Linked DNA regions of Caenorhabditis elegans. The protein of the gene in region 2 interacts with the protein of the main gene of each other region in a pairwise test. Each region holds a gene or a part of one and is shown on either strand. Other genes may lie near its edges. The genes, in order: mdf-1 and bub-1.

Region 1 (9,187 bases), on a different chromosome or scaffold from region 2:
AACTGATAATTTGCTCGTCCGAGGCGTTTAAGGAAGTCATGTCTTGACTTTATGACGCTTAATGAGCATCGAAGAATGAATGGATGCTCCAGAATAGTTTCATTGTTGATTTTCATGACGTCGCGAACGTATTTGTAGGTCTTCGATACCAATTTAGAATCTGAAAGTTTTCAATTTTATACTAATTAGTCACTTATTATAAAAAAATGAAATCTCACCCATCATAAAAATTCTTGGATCCTCCATGACTAACATTTTTAGTTGATTTGTAGTGAAGTTGAGTTCTTTGTTAAACATCTTAACAAGTCGTTCAATTGGTCCAGTTCCAAACATTATAATTCGAGGTTCCTTGACGATAATTTCTCTAGTCGCTTTTGCTGATAACTTGAACTGTTGCTGTAACCATCCCAATCGTGAATCAATCAACTGAACATTGCAATTCAACCAATATCTATATTCATCAACGATCTTTAGTCTTTCAGACTTTGTGAATTTCTTAAGCTCTAAATAATTGAGCCTTGTTTGCATATCATTCACATCTTGAATTAAAAAGAACGGATTTCTTGTTAAATATGGACCAATCGCTTCATTTTCAAACCCTATTTCGTTTTGCATCAATTCAATTTTCTGTCGAACGTCTTCTATTTGCAACCGTAGTAGATGCTTTCCAACAGTTGTCGTGTTTTCAATTTCAGCAAGGTCTACACCAATATCAACTAAAAATCGAAGAAGCGGCGAGTGATTTACAAATGGAACAATGGAATGCGAATGAACTGGAGGAAGTTCTGAGGGATCAAATGGGTGAGGATTCGATGGAGACGCTGGTTCAGTGAGGTCAGTATGATCAAGCTCTCCTTCTGTGTATTCAATTTTCCGGTATGTTGCTTTTCCTGAAATTTTTTTATATAGTTAAATTTTCAAATCTTTTAGACCAACTGGTGCTCCGATAAAATAAAATAATTCAACTAATAATGGTGTTTCGGCATTTTTTGAACGAATTTTTCAGAGTATCTGGAAATATAATCAAAATTATGAAACCCTACCAGTTTCAGATTTTAATCTTCGCGCCTCTGCAATAATAGCCGATGAAATTGTTGCTACTTCTCGTGTGTTCTCAATTTGACATTTGTCATCAAAATTTTGAATTATCTCTAAATTAGTTTGACTTTCTTCATCAGTGAGAGAACTTTGAAGACTCTTCTCCGAAACAGTTTTTACTTGCGTTGCAGGTTTGAAGGAAAGATCTGGAGGCTTCTTTGGTGTAATCTTAAATTAGAAATTAGAATAAAAATACGTTACATTAGATATTACCATAGTCATGCCTCTCGTTTGTTGCCGAAATCCAATAATTGCTGTAGTACCCATAAAACGAACAATCGATGCTGGTACTGTCATTGTCTGCATTTAAAAATGTTTAAAATGTCCTGTCCAAGGATATCTCTGACACTCAAAAAAGGTAGATAGTGGTTTCTACACACGAAGTCTCTAGAAATCTCACATTCTGCATGATAAAATAATTTATTATTCATTAAACAGGATGCGTATAAGACACCGGTCTAGATAGGTCTATGTACAATTCGATGGGAAATGTTTTTAAATATAGAAAAGCAGGAATGTATTCGATTTACAGCGTGTCTCTCTCGAGAAGCTGATCAAGAGCAAATCCAATGGCATAGTAAGTAGTTGGTGGTCCTATATTGTGTTGTCGGTACAGAGACGGCAAATCCGCAAAAGAAACACGAAGTTCTTCAATGTCTTCATCTTCTTCCTTCTCACAAAGTCGTGCTTTACTAACATCCACGGCAAAAATAGATTGGGTGTCTCCAGATTGACCGATTCCCGGAATACACTTTGCTTGGAGTTTAAACGAATCTTCTGGAAGATCGTAGCCAAGTTGCTTCACTGAGATTCGAGCGAATTTTCGAGGATCGTCGAAATCCGGAACACGGTTAACAACGAGTTCAAGCTGGAAAATTACATATAATATTGTGGGAAATACAGCATTCTAGACTTACAGTGTATGCAATTTTAGGATCGGAATTCGAGAAATCAATCTCATCCAGAGGCTTTCCAATGTTTTCTTTCAAAAAACGATTTTTTCCAACAAACACCGCTGTAAACTTACATTTCATTAAAGTTCGATTTAAAAATTACTTACGTGCACGGAGTTTCTGCAAGAAAATCAATTCTTTCTTCACCATATCTACAAGAATACATGTAGCTGTGTTTGGACATAAGGCTAAATCCCAGTTGCGGGTTATTCCATTCTACAAGAGATTCTCATTTATACATATAATTTAAGAACTTTACTTCAACTCACAATTGTGAAAATCATTCTCTTTGGATTATAACCATACTTCTTTTTGTCAAAATCAGTGTTGAATTTTACGTTCGAAATGGTTTTTACATTGTGCGGCTGCCATTGATATCCAGTTGGTGGAGTTGCGATGAGCCCTTTCTGTAAAAATTTTAAATGATTGTCGTAAACACACGTTTTTTAAGAAGGGTTTTTCCAGTCTTCAAAAGTTAAATAAAAATATGCTTTTATTCACCTTTTTTGGATCCAAAACCAAAAACCACCATTGAAAAGCAAAAAGAACGCCTGGAGGTCCTTTCACTTCTGCATGTGTTCCAATAGCAGGGCGTGCAATTTCACGTGCAACGTTGACAGGGTAATAAACTTTAGTAATTACTTCTCCCTCATGAACATTTCCACCTCCTTCGCTGATTTTCATGGATTCGTCGATTTCCGCGTAATATAAATGTTGAGCACTTCCAGATTGATGAGCACCCACAACAAATGTTATTACATGAATTAGATCATCAGGATCCACACGATATCCACATTCTTCAGCAACTTCTTCTGATGCAATTTCTCTAGGAGATAATCCTTCCTTGTCAATTAGTCCAGCACAAAGTTCAATGGTGTAGCCAGTTTCAGAATCATAGCTGCTCCAGTCAATTTTATCAAATTCTTTACCGTGATTCTCCGGCGAATTTGAAATTGATGCGGTGAAGATTGCTAAAAAACAACTTAACGCTCACATTTCAATAGAATAAAATTGGAAACCTGGTCGAAATTGACGAACTAGAAGAAATTGCTCTAAATCTCTATGAAATAGAAGAATGGATACACTGCTCATTTTTTGATTGAATTCACTAACACGTGAATTTCCATCCAATGTGTAAGACATCTCCATTCCTTTCTGATATTTTGATACAAAATCAGTCACAAAAGAGACATCACTAATTTTTGACGCTGTCATCTGAAAATATATTTTCTTATATCATTTAATTGCGGTATCATTCAAACTCGTTTTAGAAAAATACAGGATGTTCAAAAACCAATTTTCCTATTTTCATAATGGTATTTCTCCTATATACGAGCAGATAAACTTTAGATTGTACGAAACAATATACCATAGTAAACATTGAATTGGAAAGAAAATATAACGTTCATTGTGTGATTAATTTTGATCACTACACGTTTTAGATTAAAAAATAAATAAATAAAATGGAATGAAACATCAAATATTCAGGTAACAGTGTATTTAACAGCTTCTCCTTTGAAGAAAAATAATTGAGATCTAGATAGCTCAATGATTTAGTCCTCGTGTAAGACACTGAATGTATGTGTTCTCTCATGCATCGTCTCGTCAAAATCTCGATCCTGTTCCAGCTGAAGAGTCATTGCTGCTAAGAAAGCCGGAATCGAATTTCGGTCGCCAATGTACCTGAAAAAACATATTTTAAGAAGATGCCTCACAACAACGGGGAGTATTTATACTTCTAATAGTAAGTAACCAGAAAATTAACAAACTTTTTCATAAGTGGCTCCCACTTTCGAAGCATTTCAGTAGTTGATTCACAGCTGACATCAAGCATATCGATGCGAGGAGTTCCATAGAAATACTTAAACACGAACTGCTGAGCGGAACCACCTTCATATTCGCTTTGTACAGTGCATATTCCTTCGTCTGCATCTTTCAGTTTGATTTGGAGACCGGTCAGAGCAATACAAACTTGCCGGAACTTCGACGAGAGTTCCTTATGAAGATTGTAACTACTTTCGAGTACTTTTTTCTCACTTTCGCAGTCGTAAAGACGCTTCTCCAATTCAGCAAACTCTTGCTCTCTCCATTGATCACCAGCTGGAGCATCTGTCAACTTTCTTTTCCTACTTTCAGACGCTTGGAATTCATTGTGAGCATCTTGGAGTGGATTAGAAGCCATATGGAAAATCTGTGTACTATTTCCGGCATCGGTTGGAGCAGGTAAAGATGCCGGTTCTGAAGCTGGGACAGTTAAAGTCATGCTGAGAACTTCATCGAGCTGAGATTGAGATTCTTCCAACTGTTTCTTGACCTTCTCCAATTCATTGTTGCTCAACTCTAACTGTTCAGAGAGCCGGCTTTTCTCATTTTCAAGGTCTTGGCTTCTGACTCTCTCGCTCGAAAAAGCATCCTCAAGTCGTTCGTTGCGACGAGCACAGTCTGTGCTTTCTCGCATAACTTTCGTCATTCTGGAAGTAGCTGCTTCAAAATCTTTTTCGAGCTGATTGTTCTTCGTAATGAGCTGAGTGATTCTGTCAATGAGCTGCAGTTGCTTAGCGGAATTGTCTGAACTCGAAGGAATTTTCTCGTCTATATTGAACAAGTTCCCTGCTTGGCCAATCCGAATAGCTTCAATCTCACTCTAAAATAAATTAAACGTGAAATTAGTTTAACAATAATTATTCACTCACAAATGTGCTGTCCAACTGCTTATGGAGAGCTTTCTTCTCAAACTCTAAAGTACGATTACGTTCTTCGAAAATCATCGACCTTTCAGCACGCCCACTCGAGACATTCAAACGATCTTTGAGAACACTGTTTTCCAGTAGTAATCGCTGAATTTTCTCATCTTTCTCGTAATCAATAAGTGATCGATTGGCAATGCAGCCATCAGTCATCATTGTTTGATCTTCTGGCATTATGGTGTTATTTGAATCCTCGAGAAGTGTGAAATTGGATTCTGAAAATACGAATATATTTGCCTGCAAACAAAAGTTTGAAAATTCCGGACTTACGAGGTAGAGTAAAGTTAGCAGCCGATTGATCAGCACGAGCGATTTCTCTTTCCGTTTCAGGAGATGGTGGTCTACGGGTAGCAAATGAAACACCTTCATATTCTAGCAGACTTCCTGAACCAAGTTCTTCTACTGTTTCATCATCATAATCGAATTGTTCAAGAGCCCTGTACATCTGTCTTGGAACTGCATTCAATCGTGTAACTTCTTCGTCGTTTTCAAACTTTCCGTCGTTGTCTATGTACAATTTCACAGATTCCAGCTGAGTATTCGCCATTGAGTACCAAGTGTAGTATTTTTTGCCGAATGCTGTCCAAATATCAACGTTTCGATTACACTCTGCGATGGTGTCATCTCGTTCTTGCTTCAGAAGTTCGACTTGCTCTTGCAGCTCCAACATTTTCTCACGATTCGTCTCCAGATCAATGGTTTTTTCAGCCAACTTCGCTTGATTCGTTTGCATCATTTGTTTCATACGTTCGTGATCTTCACGGAGTGTTACCAATTGACGCTGTGCCGACTCTTTTTCTTTTTTTGCACTTGCCAATTCGATTGGAGCCACTAAATAAAATATTTTAAACATTTTTAATAAATGGATTAAGTTAATTTACCAGGTGAGAGTGTCATATCGAAATTGATTTTTCTGGCCTCCACCGGCGCATGTCGACGAAATGTTGCCTGCTTCAGCTTTTTTTCTGTCTCTGCTTTCAACGGAAACTCTCTTTTGAACTGTTTTTTGATTTCTTCAGCGAACAACATTGTAGCTTCCGACTCTTCATATTCGTCTTCATCGACAATGTCTTCATCGTAATTCATGTCTGAAAAAAATCAGTTACATAATGTATTACAGTGAGCGATTCGAATTTTGAGATAGAGATTAATAATATGTTTAATGCAATCAAGGGAAGTCAAACAAATCCATTCGCACAAAAACAGTTTATCGAATGTCACCAAACAAACTGCGAAGAAATCTTAAAAATAACGTCTTCCCGCCCACTTGCAAGGGCGCGGCATTATGCAATGCTGCCGCACACTTTTCCCAGCAATTCTTCAGCCTCATTTTTTATTATTATTTGGTCATTCGGAAACATGTTCGGACACAAGAACATGCAAAAATAGGAAAATATGATCTTGCGAATAGTTTTTTTTTCAAAAATCCGAATTTTGGGAAGTTTCTTACCTGGAAAAATTGTATTTAAAACAAATTCTTATTTTCATTTTAAAAAATAATTTACTGATAACTGCAAAGTATATGAATTTATTTCATTTACAATTCAGCCGAGTAAACAATACATTCAGATGACATATAAATTAACGGGGCGGAGTATCTTTAGTTGCAATATTCATCTGTGACACTGCTTATTCTTTGTCTCCTGCAGTCTTCTTTGGGAGAAGCACGGCTTGGATGTTTGGAAGAACTCCTCCTTGGGCGATGGTGACTCCAGCCAACAGTTTGTTCAATTCCTCGTCATTACGGACAGCGAGTTGGAGATGTCTTGGTGCAATACGGGTTTTCTTGTTGTCACGGGCAGCGTTTCCAGCCAACTCGAGAACTTCGGCGGCGAGGTACTCCAGAACTGCTGCGAGGTACACCTGGAACATTATGTTTTTAAAAAGTACAAGAGCAAAAGTGATATAATTTGGAAAATGCTAGCAAGTTCAGGTTTGAACGATTTTTTAATCTAGGAAATGCACAAAACACAGCAGCTCTAAAATTCTACATACCGGTGCTCCTGCTCCAACACGTTGTGCGTAGTTTCCTTTACGGAGAATACGATGAAGACGACCAACTGGGAATTGAAGTCCAGCTCTCGACGAACGGGACTTGGCCTTTCCACCGGTCTTAGCTTTTCCTCCCTTTCCACGTCCGGACATCTTTGCTGAAATTAGGTTGAATAACAATGAACTAGAAGTCTAGATGAGCAAATTGGAGGTGAAAGAGAAACAGAAAAGTGGTCTAAGCCGACGAAAATCGATGCAAAATACGCATGCGCACACGCGCCCGCCTCTCTATTTAACTATTTCTCTCGGTGTGGGCGGAGTCTAGTTCCGCGGCAGCGAGAGGTGGGGCCACCGCTGGCGAGTATAAAAGCGCTTCGCAGCGCTCATAGACAACACTCGCCAAACACATCGATTCGTTTCGCATTTTCGTTTCGTGTCTCATTCGATCATGGCCCCACCAAAACCATCAGCTAAAGGAGCCAAAAAGGCTGCTAAGACCGTCAGCAAGCCAAAAGACGGAAAGAAAAGAAAGCATGCTCGTAAGGAATCCTACTCGGTCTACATCTACCGTGTTTTAAAGCAGGTGAGAATATATTCAAATCGAATAAGTTATGATAAAAAAATGTTTTAGCCATTAGCATGTTGTATGTTAAAACTACGTACCACTTAGTACGAACTGCAACGATATAATACCGGTATTTAAAAATCATTTAAATTAGTCTTGGGGGATCATAGAAATCAAAATAATATTAAGTAGTTATTCTGTCAAATCAAAAATATTATTAAATAATTTGCAGGTTCACCCAGACACCGGTGTGTCATCCAAGGCTATGTCGATCATGAATTCGTTTGTCAACGATGTCTTCGAGAGAATTGCTTCGGAAGCATCTCGTCTGGCCCACTACAACAAGAGATCCACCATCTCTTCTCGCGAAATCCAAACCGCTGTCCGTCTCATTCTTCCTGGAGAACTTGCAAAGCATGCTGTTTCAGAAGGAACCAAGGCTGTCACCAAGTACACTTCCAGTAAATAATTTATTAATGATTACGATCTCCCATTAACACTCCTATTCCCCAATGTATTTATTCATATGTTCCTGTTTTATACTAAAAACCTAATAAATTGGTATTGGTAAAGTAAACTCGATTTTGGGAAACATGTGCGAGCGTTAGTGACCTCAGACATCTGTCGCTCCGCCCCTCCACCGCATATGGGTATATAATATACACTACGTTGGCATTCATTAGTCAACCAGTCTGCACAACACCAAATCGACGCGCAAAAATGCCAAAGAACACCAAGAAGAGCCAAGGAAACAAGAAATTGGAGATGACCAATAAGCAATTCGATGATTTGCTGAAGGAGGTAAGACCTATTTTATTTTACTTAGAATAGCCTAAACAAAATATCTTTTCAGATGGGAGGTCTCCCAGAGGGAATGAATCTCGATCCAGAGCTTCTCGCAGTTCTTCGTCAAGCAACAAATGCCGAGTTCAACAAGGTGGCCAAGGAGAAGTATGGAGATGTTCCAGAAGGTTCAGATGATGACGAAGAGCAGCAAACTTCGGAGCAGAATAAGGAGCAGCAGCAGTCATCCAGTTCGAAGAGTACTTAGTTGTGTTCTTCGTTTTCGAAAATTTCTAAATTCTCAAACCGATTCTTATTTTCAAGATCTCTTATTTTTACATCAATAAAACCATTTTGCTCAAAAATATGATATTTATTCTTCACCGTCTTTCCGAACACTACGAATTTCAAGGAAAACCCTTGGAGGACTGTTATTTCTGCTGCACAACCTTTCCCGCGTCATCGAATCCGCAAACACGCCACCAAGTTTTTGACGTATTTTTCGTTTCTGTGACGCTTTTCTGACATGTGTCCCCGCAGGGTGGTTCAATCTGACTCCACCCATTTCTGCTGGCGTATAAAAGAACGACGACGAGTGACGTTCAATTCTGTTTTTATCAACTCATTCGCTTTCGTTTTCTAACAACTTTTAATCATGTCTGGACGTGGAAAGGGAGGAAAAGGACTTGGAAAGGGAGGTGCTAAACGGCATCGTAAAGTTCTTCGTGACAACATCCAGGGAATCACAAAGGTTAGTTTTTTGAAAATAAATATATATTTTTAACTTAAAAATATTTTATCTAATTTTCAATATTTACTTTCCAGCCAGCAATTCGCCGTCTCGCTCGTCGTGGTGGAGTCAAACGTATCTCTGGACTTATCTACGAGGAAACTCGTGGAGTTCTGAAGGTCTTCCTTGAAAATGTCATTCGTGATGCTGTCACTTACTGTGAGCACGCCAAAAGAAAGACTGTAACCGCGATGGACGTTGTCTATGCCTTGAAACGTCAAGGAAGAACTCTCTACGGATTCGGTGGATAATTCACTCG
Region 2 (9,698 bases):
ATATGAAGAAGCTTCCCTCGTCTATCCAATATTGAGATCCAGAGCTAAAGACTTGTCTGTCGTCATCTGCATCTGGAAGCGATTCGGGAAAGTCTTTCTTTGTGATAGATACATTCATTCGTCGTCCACATATTTCTTGAATTCGCGCTACGCGTATTTCAGTAGAATTGGAATAATTTAATAGTTCAAGACGTTGTCCAACTTTGAAACGATGCTTGCTTAGGAGAGCCTTCCCTTCATCGAATTTTGGAGACAGCGAAGTTTGGCCGACGATTTCGCCATCAATGCAATTCTGAAGTTGTGAGATGATATTAACATAAATTCGGAAAAAAACAAACTTACATTTACATAATTTACCATATCATTTTGGTATTCTTCGTTGATTGCAAGCGGCGGAGCATATACAATTTTATCCATATTGGGATCACTCATTGCGGCGCTGAAATGTTCAAATTTTACTATTATACAAATGTTTCGAAGTTTTAATACGATTGTTCTCTAGAATTTTATGTAACAGAACCATTATTTATTTAGAATAGTAGAAAGAGCTGAGCGTCCAACTTACTTTGCCAAACCAAACATATCGTCCGATAAAATATTGAGCCAAAATTTCGTGTCAGCTCCGATAAACTGAGCCAGAACTCTGTATCCGCAAACTTTTTCAATTCGTGCAAACCATCTGACTTGAATCGAATCGCAGTTCTTGTCATAATCATGGACCACTGTTTCGAACTACAAAAATTGTATTTTAAAACCGATTTACGAACAATATGAACTCACGATAACTCCTTCCTTCACGCATTCGTTAAAATTAACTGTAAGGTTACGATTGAATGCTTCAACTGGAATGAAAGAAGTTTTTCCTTTCTCGAACTGATGTAAATAGGATTCCCACAAGTAGGTCTTATCGAGTTTTCTGTCCGATTTTTTGTTAGCTCTGACAATTTTCAGAAATTCAGACATCTGAAATTAAGACTGGTTTAAAACGTAATTAGAGAGAATGTTTATTGAAATTGAAAGTTAGTTCGATTTGATTTGATATTTCTCAGGCGTTCGTCAAATTCACAGTGTACTCAATATACTCCAACCCATTGGATCCACTGGTGCTACTCAACCCGTGCCTATACTCGCGAAAATTTCCATTTTTCGTGCAATTGTGCAGAAACCACCCATAAGGCTCGAGCTTTCCAAATTCAAATCCATGATGGCCGTCCTGATAGAAAAATATTTTCTTTCGAGCAAACATAGTCATACGTCCAGTGATGTCTTCATCGCGATCCCAAAAAGTATTGCCATCGTCTTCCCAATGCGACACTGTTAATTGGAACACTTCATCAAAATCACACTTAACTTCGACGCCAAACAGAAATCTTGTCGAACTGACTGTATTGTAGAACAACGCGAAGCACAAAATGACTAATTTTAGCATTTTGATGTTCGGGAACTAACTTTTCGGACGAACAAAAACACTCTTAACTATCTGGTGACAAATTAGACTACTGGGCCACGCTAACTTCAATTATTTCGAAACATTTTGCTTTAAAAAAAAAAGAAACAAAACAGGAAAATGGAGAAAATGTTTGAAAAATAATAAAAAAGAAATGAGAGACTCAATGCAGATCCGTCGATTTCGAAACTAGTGACGAACGGACTACGAAAAAATGGGCGGGCTTTTTGTGTTATTAAAAGTGTAACATTTCAAATTAAATTCCAATTGCATACAAACACTTTTTAAAAAATTGTTTTTTTATAATTTCAAATAGCTTTAAAATCAATTTTCAGTTATAGCAATAAAGCACCGCCCAATTTTCAGTAGTGCGCAATTCTCCAGATTCAAAAGAACGTAGCCATGAGAGTGACGTCACTGAACTACAGCGAAAAACGCGCTCTATCGAGCAGGCCCGCGAAGACTCGCTTTTCAAAAAAGACGCGCGCGTTTATATCCATTTCTTGTTTTCGAAGGTCCTAAAATTTAGAGGAGAAAGAGGGATTTCACGTCTCCAATGAACTCCGTAATTTTCGTGAACCGATGATTTTTTTATTCGCGTCCTTTCTACTTTGAAAACTTGTTATTCAGATTATTTCAGAAAGTTATGTCCCACATTAGAGTGGCATTCGCTCCACTCGACACCAATCCGTCGACATGTGGTCTTGAGACGTTCGCAACGTAAGTTTCCGTATATCTTGTATTTTAAATAGTCACCACTTTCAGGCAAATCGAAACGTTGTCTCAAATGATGACCGCGGAGGAAATGAAGGCGGAATTATACGACTGCGTTAGGAGAATTTTGCGGGAGCAAAAGTTTGATCAAATTCGTGAAAACGAAGCGATGCTCCGTCTCTACAAAGTTATGGGTCGATCTAGTACAAACCTGAAGGGAAGAGGCATTTATGAACAACTTTTCAAAAAGGATCATTTCACTGGTTCGCTGAAGTTCTATCTGCAATGGGCAGAAGAATGTGGAAAAGATCAAATGCTGGAGGAATTCAAAGATGTCCTGAAGTTGGCACGAGATCGTCTTTCCGAAAGAATAGAAATGACAGCAATTGAATCGGGATTTCGCGATTTGGTCGATGAATACTTCAATGGAGAATCTGGAGATATGTTCACACGACCGGATGAGACTATGGATCTTTTCAGATTCAATGCGGGTTCTAAGAAAAAGCGTCGCTCTTCGGTTTGCTTTTTGCAACACAATGTGCCTATAAATAACTCGGGAAAAGCTGCATTTGGACCAAAAAGTAAGTTTGAAAAAAAGTTATTATTCTCATTGGAAACTTACAGCCAAAACGGATCTTCGCCAGGCGTGTATCGACAGGCCAAACTATCATGGAATATCGATTGAGGAGTTTCGTTTTGCCAAATGGAAGGACACTTTCGGAGAAGATGTTGATGACGATTACCGAAAACGAAAAGACTCTGGTGTCGTTTTCGTGAAACATCAAGTCATTGATACCGACAGACAAGCCCGCGAAGAAGTTGAAAACCGATTCAACGCCAATCTAAATCCTAGAAGACGTCATCTTTCACCAGTCAGTGAGAAAACGGTTGATGATGAGGAGGAAAAGCGAAGCCGGATTTATTCGCCGCTGGTTGCAACGAAGGATGCTCACAGACCTGCACTTCGGAGCAAAATTGAGAATCCTCCAGCGACAGTGACACTTTCGTCGGATACAAAGTCTGCTTCGGAGAAAGATGTTAGTGATTCCGATGATGCAGATGATGATGAAAGACTCAAGATTATGACTGCCGGCAGAAAAGATGGTAACCCTCCAGACCGTTCCACAAGCATATCTTCCAACTATTCAACTGCTTCTGCAAGAACATCAAAGAGTGGAGCTGGATTGGATTTGATGGCGGAAAATAAGTGTTTGGAGGCACATGCTATGTTTTCCGACACTGTACATCTTGCTAGCGAAAAGACAATGGTCCTTGGCGATGATTCTGTCTTCGTTCCAGAAAGATCTTTAGCTACTACGCAGATAGTTACTGACTTTTCCGTGCTCTGTGATCCTGATCCGACAATGACCATTACACAGGAGCGTCCGAAAAAAGTGTCGAATGGGTTGAATGTTGTTTACGATGAGGCAGCCGAACCGGAAGAATCTCAGAAAGTTGAGGAATCTGAAGTACAACCCGAAATTGTCCTAGTTTCTCCAGTGACGCAAACCTCACCAGCTACAATGTTTAATGATAGTGGGTTTATCGAAAAATATAACAACTTATGTTTTAATTTTTAGTTTATGACGATGAAATCGAGTTTGGCTTTTTCAAACCGTCTCGTGGTAATTTCGTCACATCGACCCCCGCACAAGGAGTTCATTTGGTCAACATTGATGAATATTTCGGAAATAAAGAGGAGGAAAGCACTCACGAACAGGAAGCTCCAGTATTTGTTGCTCCAACCAGCAGTACTTTCAGTAAATTAGTAAGTGCCAGACAAATTTTCGACATACTATTCAAACTTTTTCAGACACGTCGAAAGTCACTAGCAGCAAATCAAGCCGTTCAGCCCTCAGTCACAGAGTCATCAAAGCCTGAACGATCAGATCCTAAAGATTCATCTATCGATTGTTTGACAGCTAATCTAGGAAGACGTCTTTCAATTGGTGCTGATGAAATTCCAAATCTCACTGAAAACAACGAATCTGAAATCACTGGTTGCAAGATTCGTCGGCGCAGTGAAATTATCAAGCAAGGAGACATCAATCCATGGGACGAAACTCTTCGAAAAAAATTGATGTGTCTTGTGCGTCCTCCCCAGAATATGCACGAGTTCCAAGAACGAGCACCGAAGATTCAAGCTCTGAGAGACTGCGAGGTTAGCGGAGAAAAGCTCCACATTCAAACTCTTATTGGTCAAGGTGGATACGCTAAAGTATACCGGGCTGTAACCGATGATCAAAGGACAGTAGCTGTGAAGTACGAGGTGCCATCATGTTCGTGGGAAGTGTACATTTGCGACCAAATGCGGAATCGCCTGAAAGATCGAGGTTTGGAGCTGATGGCCAAATGTTGCATTATGGAAGTGATGGATGCTTATGTTTATTCAACTGCTTCGCTTCTTGTTAATCAGTACCACGAATATGGAACGCTGCTTGAATATGCGAATAACATGAAGGATCCGAATTGGCACATAACCTGCTTCTTGATTACCCAAATGGCCCGAGTTGTGAAGGAAGTCCATGCCTCTAAAATTATTCATGGAGATATCAAACCGGATAATTTTATGATCACCAGAAAGTATGGGAAAACATTTGTTAATTTTAGACGTTATCTTTTTTCAGGATCGATGATAAATGGGGCAAAGATGCTCTGATGAGTAACGACAGCTTTGTCATCAAGATTATCGACTGGGGACGTGCCATTGACATGATGCCACTGAAGAACCAGCGTTTCAAGGGAAGAGCAGGAACAGAAGCGTTTGATTGCCCGGAAATGGTTGACGGTCGTTCTTGGACTTACCAAGCCGATTACTTCGGATTCGCCGCAACAATGGCTGTCGTTGTTGCAGGAAAGTATGCACAGTTGACTGGAGCTAGCGTTGGAGACTATTCGTTAAATGTCGACATCAAGAGGCGCAACATTCTTCGCGATGCTTGCTACGATGTCATTAACAGATTCCTCAACATCCCTTCGTGTGATTCACTTCCGGACTGGAATATCCTGATCAAGTCTTTCTCGGAAATCTGGAATGAAAAGTTTGAAGCATCGGGATGGCGACAGGCGGTTTCCAAGTTCAATGAGGCCTGTGATCTTGCCGCCAACCAAAAGTAGCCCAACACAATGAATTTGTATTTCGTGCTCTTATTGCTCTCTTTTATTGTCTTTTGTATTGATATCATGTGAATAAACTCGTTCGGAGCTTTAATAATTGTGCATCTAATTTATTTCTGGTAAAACAAATTGAATTAAACGAAGTTTTCAGTTTTTGAAAGCTTTCCAAATTTGAACGTGATATTCGAGATTGGGCGCGGCGAGACCCATCACGGTAGAAATTTGATGCGCCTTTAAAGGGAAGTATTGCAATAGATCACAGTTAGATCTAAATAGTTGCACATTCGTTTTGTTTCATCAACTGTTTTCTTCGCGTTTTGCATAAAATGTGATATTTAAAAAAGAATTTAGAAAAAATTACAATTAAAATATTTTCCAGCCATCCTCTTGTAAAAATGGAAGAATCAGATCAGACTGTGGTGAGCGCTAGTGTTTAATCAACTTATTTTGCAAAAAGTTTCAGCTTTTACCAAATGTCGAAAATGAAATTGGCAGTTTTTATCATGACATGCCTGATGAAAAATTGCTTCGTCATATCAAAGCAATTTTCGACGAAGCTTCACTTCGACCATCTTTGGTATTTAATCTTCATTGAAACCTCAACATAAAGTTAGAGTTGTAGACTAAAAACGTGCCATCCACATCTTCACAAGTCACAGAGGAATTGAATAAAGTTGAAATCAGAGATCCAAAGCATGAAATGCAAGATGAGGTTGAAATATAAATTTGGTAAAAATGCTGTATAATTTTCGAATTCCAGCAATATCTTTCAATATTCGAAAATCCGTCCGGAGTTCAGTACAACCAAGCTGATGGCTCATTTTCGTGGAATAATCGCTTCCATAGTGTAAAAACCAACTGTAATTCATTTTCTAATGAACATTTTCAGGACAACAGCGTCCAATACATAAACGTGTTGAACAACTATGGTTGTGAAGGTGCTGATACACTATTAAATCAGTCAGACAGTAGCGATGAAACCGATGAAAGTATCGAAGAAAGACGGACCCCACGAGGAAACCGGCAGTCGCGTAGTAATTTGACATCGAAACCCTCTGCCAAATATTGGACAAAAAGAGGAGGAGATCCAATTGTTAATTGCTCGGTTAGTTCATTTTAGTTCTATATCTCATTCTCTGTAAATGAACAAAAACCTTCACTATTATCACTATTATACCATATCACTATTATAGATTTATTTATTACAACTTAAAAGTGTGTACCAACCATCAAATTTCTCAAAATCTAAAGCATAACATTCTGAACATGATTTTATTCTTCAATTTCAGTGCTCAATATGTGGATCCAAATTTTCAACCATTCGCTGTCTTCTTGATCATCGTCATCAAGAACATTCACTGAAAGATATGATGATGTGTGGTCTCTGTGGAAAAGAGTTTTCGAAGCGAACACATATCTATTTGCATCTAAGTCAAGAATACAAAGTATATCATTGTGACGGTTGCAATACATCGTTTGCCAGCAAATGGCACTTGGAAAAGCATCGATGTAAGGAAAATGAAACAATCGACGATAAAAAACGAAGAAGAACGGGACGTGTAAATGCGGAAGAAATAAAAGTAATAAAAGAAGAGATTCAAGATGAAGAATTTGGTGGCGTTGTTTTGTCTAATGAGAATCATGAAAAATCAAAAGAAGACCGTTTCCAATTCGCTTGTGTATTATGTGGAAAGAAATATCAACACTATCATTGGTTGCTCAAACATAGAACCAAATGCTTGGAAACAACGGACGAAATTCAGGTGGAGAATGTTTAGTGAAACGTTTTTGCGAGAACTTCACTAATTGAAAATATAAACTAATTTAACAGATTATTTTTTCTTGTTTTACAAAAAAAAAATAAATTTCAGTCAGAGATGGGACATAAACATTGTTTTGCAGGAATTCAAGTGCAATGTTTGCTACCGAAGATACAATTCGAGTTTTTGGTTCGAACGCCACATGGAAAAGTGTAATTCATCTACTGCACTTCCTCCTGCGCTTTTAGATCAAACCATAAGCTGTCCAAACTGTCATAAAAAATATCAAAATGAATATTGGTTTGATTATCACAAGAAGCATTGTCCAGACATTACTCCAGCTCTTTCTGATGTACATTTGGATGTCAACTCGTTGCGGGACAGACGACCACGTGAAGGAGAGATCAGCGTGGTTCCAGATGTCAATTTATTTGGTATAGAACCTGAAAGAGAAGACGACAATGACGATGACGAAGATGCTGATGCTACCATTTCATCCTCATCTTCTTCGACTGGGAATTTGGTCAATATTCCGGTAGATTACTTCATTTCTTTTAAATCTTTTTGTTTGGTTAACATACTTCTTTCAGTAATCATGTCTTAAAATCTAAATTATCACCAAAGAATGTAAATTTAACATTTTGAAGTGAATGATTCATATGATAAGATTGTATTAAAAGGGAATACGTAATAGGATTACTGTAGCTGTATCTGCAATATTGCGGCAAAAATTGATTTCTATTGAAAAATTGAAAAATTGAAAATTGACAAAGGTATCATTATGTTTTACAAAATTGAAGCTCTAAATATGTTGTTCTTACATTATAAGTTTTCAGTGTTCCATCTGTGGAAAGTTCTGTGTCGGTGTTGCAAGTCTTCTTCATCATCGGAAGCAAATTCATGGATTGACTGCAATGCTAACATGTGGTGTGTGCACGAAAAAGTTCAATACACTAAGTTCGATTCGTCGTCATATGAGTATGGAATACTCAATCTTCCGTTGCCAACAATGTGGCCGAAACTGTATCGATCGAACCACTCTTGACCGTCACGAATGCTTCAAGCCATACAAGATCCGAGATAAGAGACTTTTCAATATTCAAAATATATCAGTTCTCAAGTGCCCTGACTGCAGAGCAACTTTTGCAAATTTGAATGTTCTGTCTGAACATCGCAAGACGTGTCAATACGGCAACGTATTTGATAATATTCAACAACCGGGAAGTTCTTCTTTACGACAACATCACAGGAGCGATACAAATGGAGCCGCGTTGCAGAGAAAAATCACATCCCGTGTTCGTCTAGATTCGAATACTCCAGAGAAATGGACGGTTTGTTAATTTTCCTAATTAAAAAATAACGTTTGAGAATTTATAATTTCAGTGCCGAGATTGCCACGCCTCCTTTCATAACCTGCAAGCGTTGTGCTCACATCGACACGAATCTCACGGAAAAGAAATGTTTCAATGCAACAACTGTTCTGAAACCCTTCCAAACTATCGTGCTCTCCATGATCATAATATGATGGTAAGTTTATATGTAATGAATTTATATCACATATGCTACAACATGACCAGCATTGCAGGAACAATAGATCTACAAATGAAACAACTACGAGAAGATATTCGGAAGAAGACATCAATTACGATTACATGGACAATGTACAAATATTCGTCGTAGAAGAAAGTGAAATTTTCATTCCTATTCAACCGCATTTCTCGAGAAAGTAGATAATTCTTAATACGATGTTATGTACTGCTCCCTTGTGCTTTATTCTTTACTTTTCAGACAATAAAATTTTGAACGTTCTGTCTTCTAGATTTAAACCTTCTTCAATTAAACTCCATGTTTACTATTATTCGTTCTTCAACATTCCACAAGAAGAAAACGTTTTGTGATTCTTACCAAGCAAAGGGAGTTCCTGGAAAAAACCACAGCGCGAAACCGTACTACTTGAGTGAAGTATCCTGCCAGATCCTGGTGTCTTATCATCATTTGTGCAGAGTAAATAGAAAAGAAGAAAGAAAGAAAGAGATTGTATTTACATAAGAGAGTCTTAATTACAACTTTATTCTTGAAAAAGAAGAGTTGATGATGATGATGACAGACACACCGTTTGCGTTTTTTGAATTGATTTGATTTTCTAGAGCCTGGGGCTTTTGGAAGGCAGTTTACTGATTGATAATGTGGAGGGTCGATCGCTAGAATCGAAAGAATTATGATGTCAACGAGACTTTCAGATTATATCAATTTCAGACGTGTGGAGCGTCGGGAGAAATCAACAGAATTTAAAGATCAACGGAGACTCGGCGCGCGAATCGTTCAAACAGAGAGTGAGAGAATATGATTGAGACTGAAACTTTAACAATTAGGAAAAAGGAAACTGAGAAAAACTTGATTATAAACAAGATATGTGGGGGAAAATACAAAACTATGAGAAATTATTTGTGTGTGCAGCACTGCTGAAAAAGATGATGGACAGGAGGAAGAAAATCGACGAGAGGTTTTGAAGGTCAATGGGGAAGTGAAGTTTTGTGTGTGGGGACCATGGAAATTTATTCAGGGGGCAAATTTACTTGTTGGTAGCCGAACGAACAACTTGACCGCGCATGCGAACCAATGAGTTCTCGGCAACCTCGGCACGCTCTTCGGCATTCTCG

What was found.
Region 1: the proteins of bub-1 (region 2) and mdf-1 interact in a two-hybrid assay, tested with the Caenorhabditis elegans proteins (one study listed by BioGRID).

Annotation. Positions count from the first base shown.
Region 1 is NC_003283.11:9,538,341-9,547,527, forward strand, and holds mdf-1 (uncharacterized protein), read right to left. Parts: upstream 5,887-9,187; 5' UTR 5,885-5,886; coding exon 5,680-5,884; intron 5,630-5,679; coding exon 5,069-5,629; intron 5,014-5,068; coding exon 4,745-5,013; intron 4,696-4,744; coding exon 3,821-4,695; intron 3,735-3,820; coding exon 3,605-3,734; 3' UTR 3,442-3,604; downstream 1-3,441. Other genes in the region: C50F4.12 (Transcription termination factor 3, mitochondrial), read right to left, coding at 1-160, 219-890, 1,044-1,266, 1,312-1,395; C50F4.16 (Uridine diphosphate glucose pyrophosphatase NUDT14), read right to left, coding at 1,625-1,966, 2,016-2,113, 2,159-2,267, 2,321-2,458, 2,553-3,022, 3,071-3,266; his-35 (Histone H2A), read right to left, coding at 6,428-6,661, 6,794-6,943; his-41 (putative histone H2B 3), read left to right, coding at 7,239-7,373, 7,588-7,824; C50F4.6 (Cold-shock protein), read left to right, coding at 8,076-8,156, 8,209-8,406; his-37 (Histone H4), read left to right, coding at 8,794-8,889, 8,964-9,179.
Region 2 is NC_003279.8:7,249,854-7,259,551, forward strand, and holds bub-1 (Mitotic checkpoint serine/threonine-protein kinase bub-1), read left to right. Parts: upstream 1-2,087; 5' UTR 2,088-2,093; coding exon 2,094-2,167; intron 2,168-2,212; coding exon 2,213-2,742; intron 2,743-2,785; coding exon 2,786-3,697; intron 3,698-3,741; coding exon 3,742-3,929; intron 3,930-3,974; coding exon 3,975-4,744; intron 4,745-4,788; coding exon 4,789-5,278; 3' UTR 5,279-5,370; downstream 5,371-9,698. Other genes in the region: Protein lin-61, read right to left, coding at 1-292, 343-439, 566-732, 781-963, 1,067-1,429; ztf-15 (C2H2-type domain-containing protein), read left to right, coding at 5,674-5,697, 5,742-5,855, 5,901-5,990, 6,039-6,125, 6,168-6,383, 6,568-7,041, 7,181-7,573, 7,875-8,369 and 2 more; myo-1 (Myosin-1), read right to left, coding at 9,611-9,698. UniProt on the Caenorhabditis elegans protein: Serine/threonine-protein kinase essential for spindle-assembly checkpoint signaling. Plays a key role in the recruitment of the checkpoint proteins bub-3, mdf-1 and mdf-2 to unattached kinetochores. mdf-1 recruitment is independent of bub-1 kinase activity.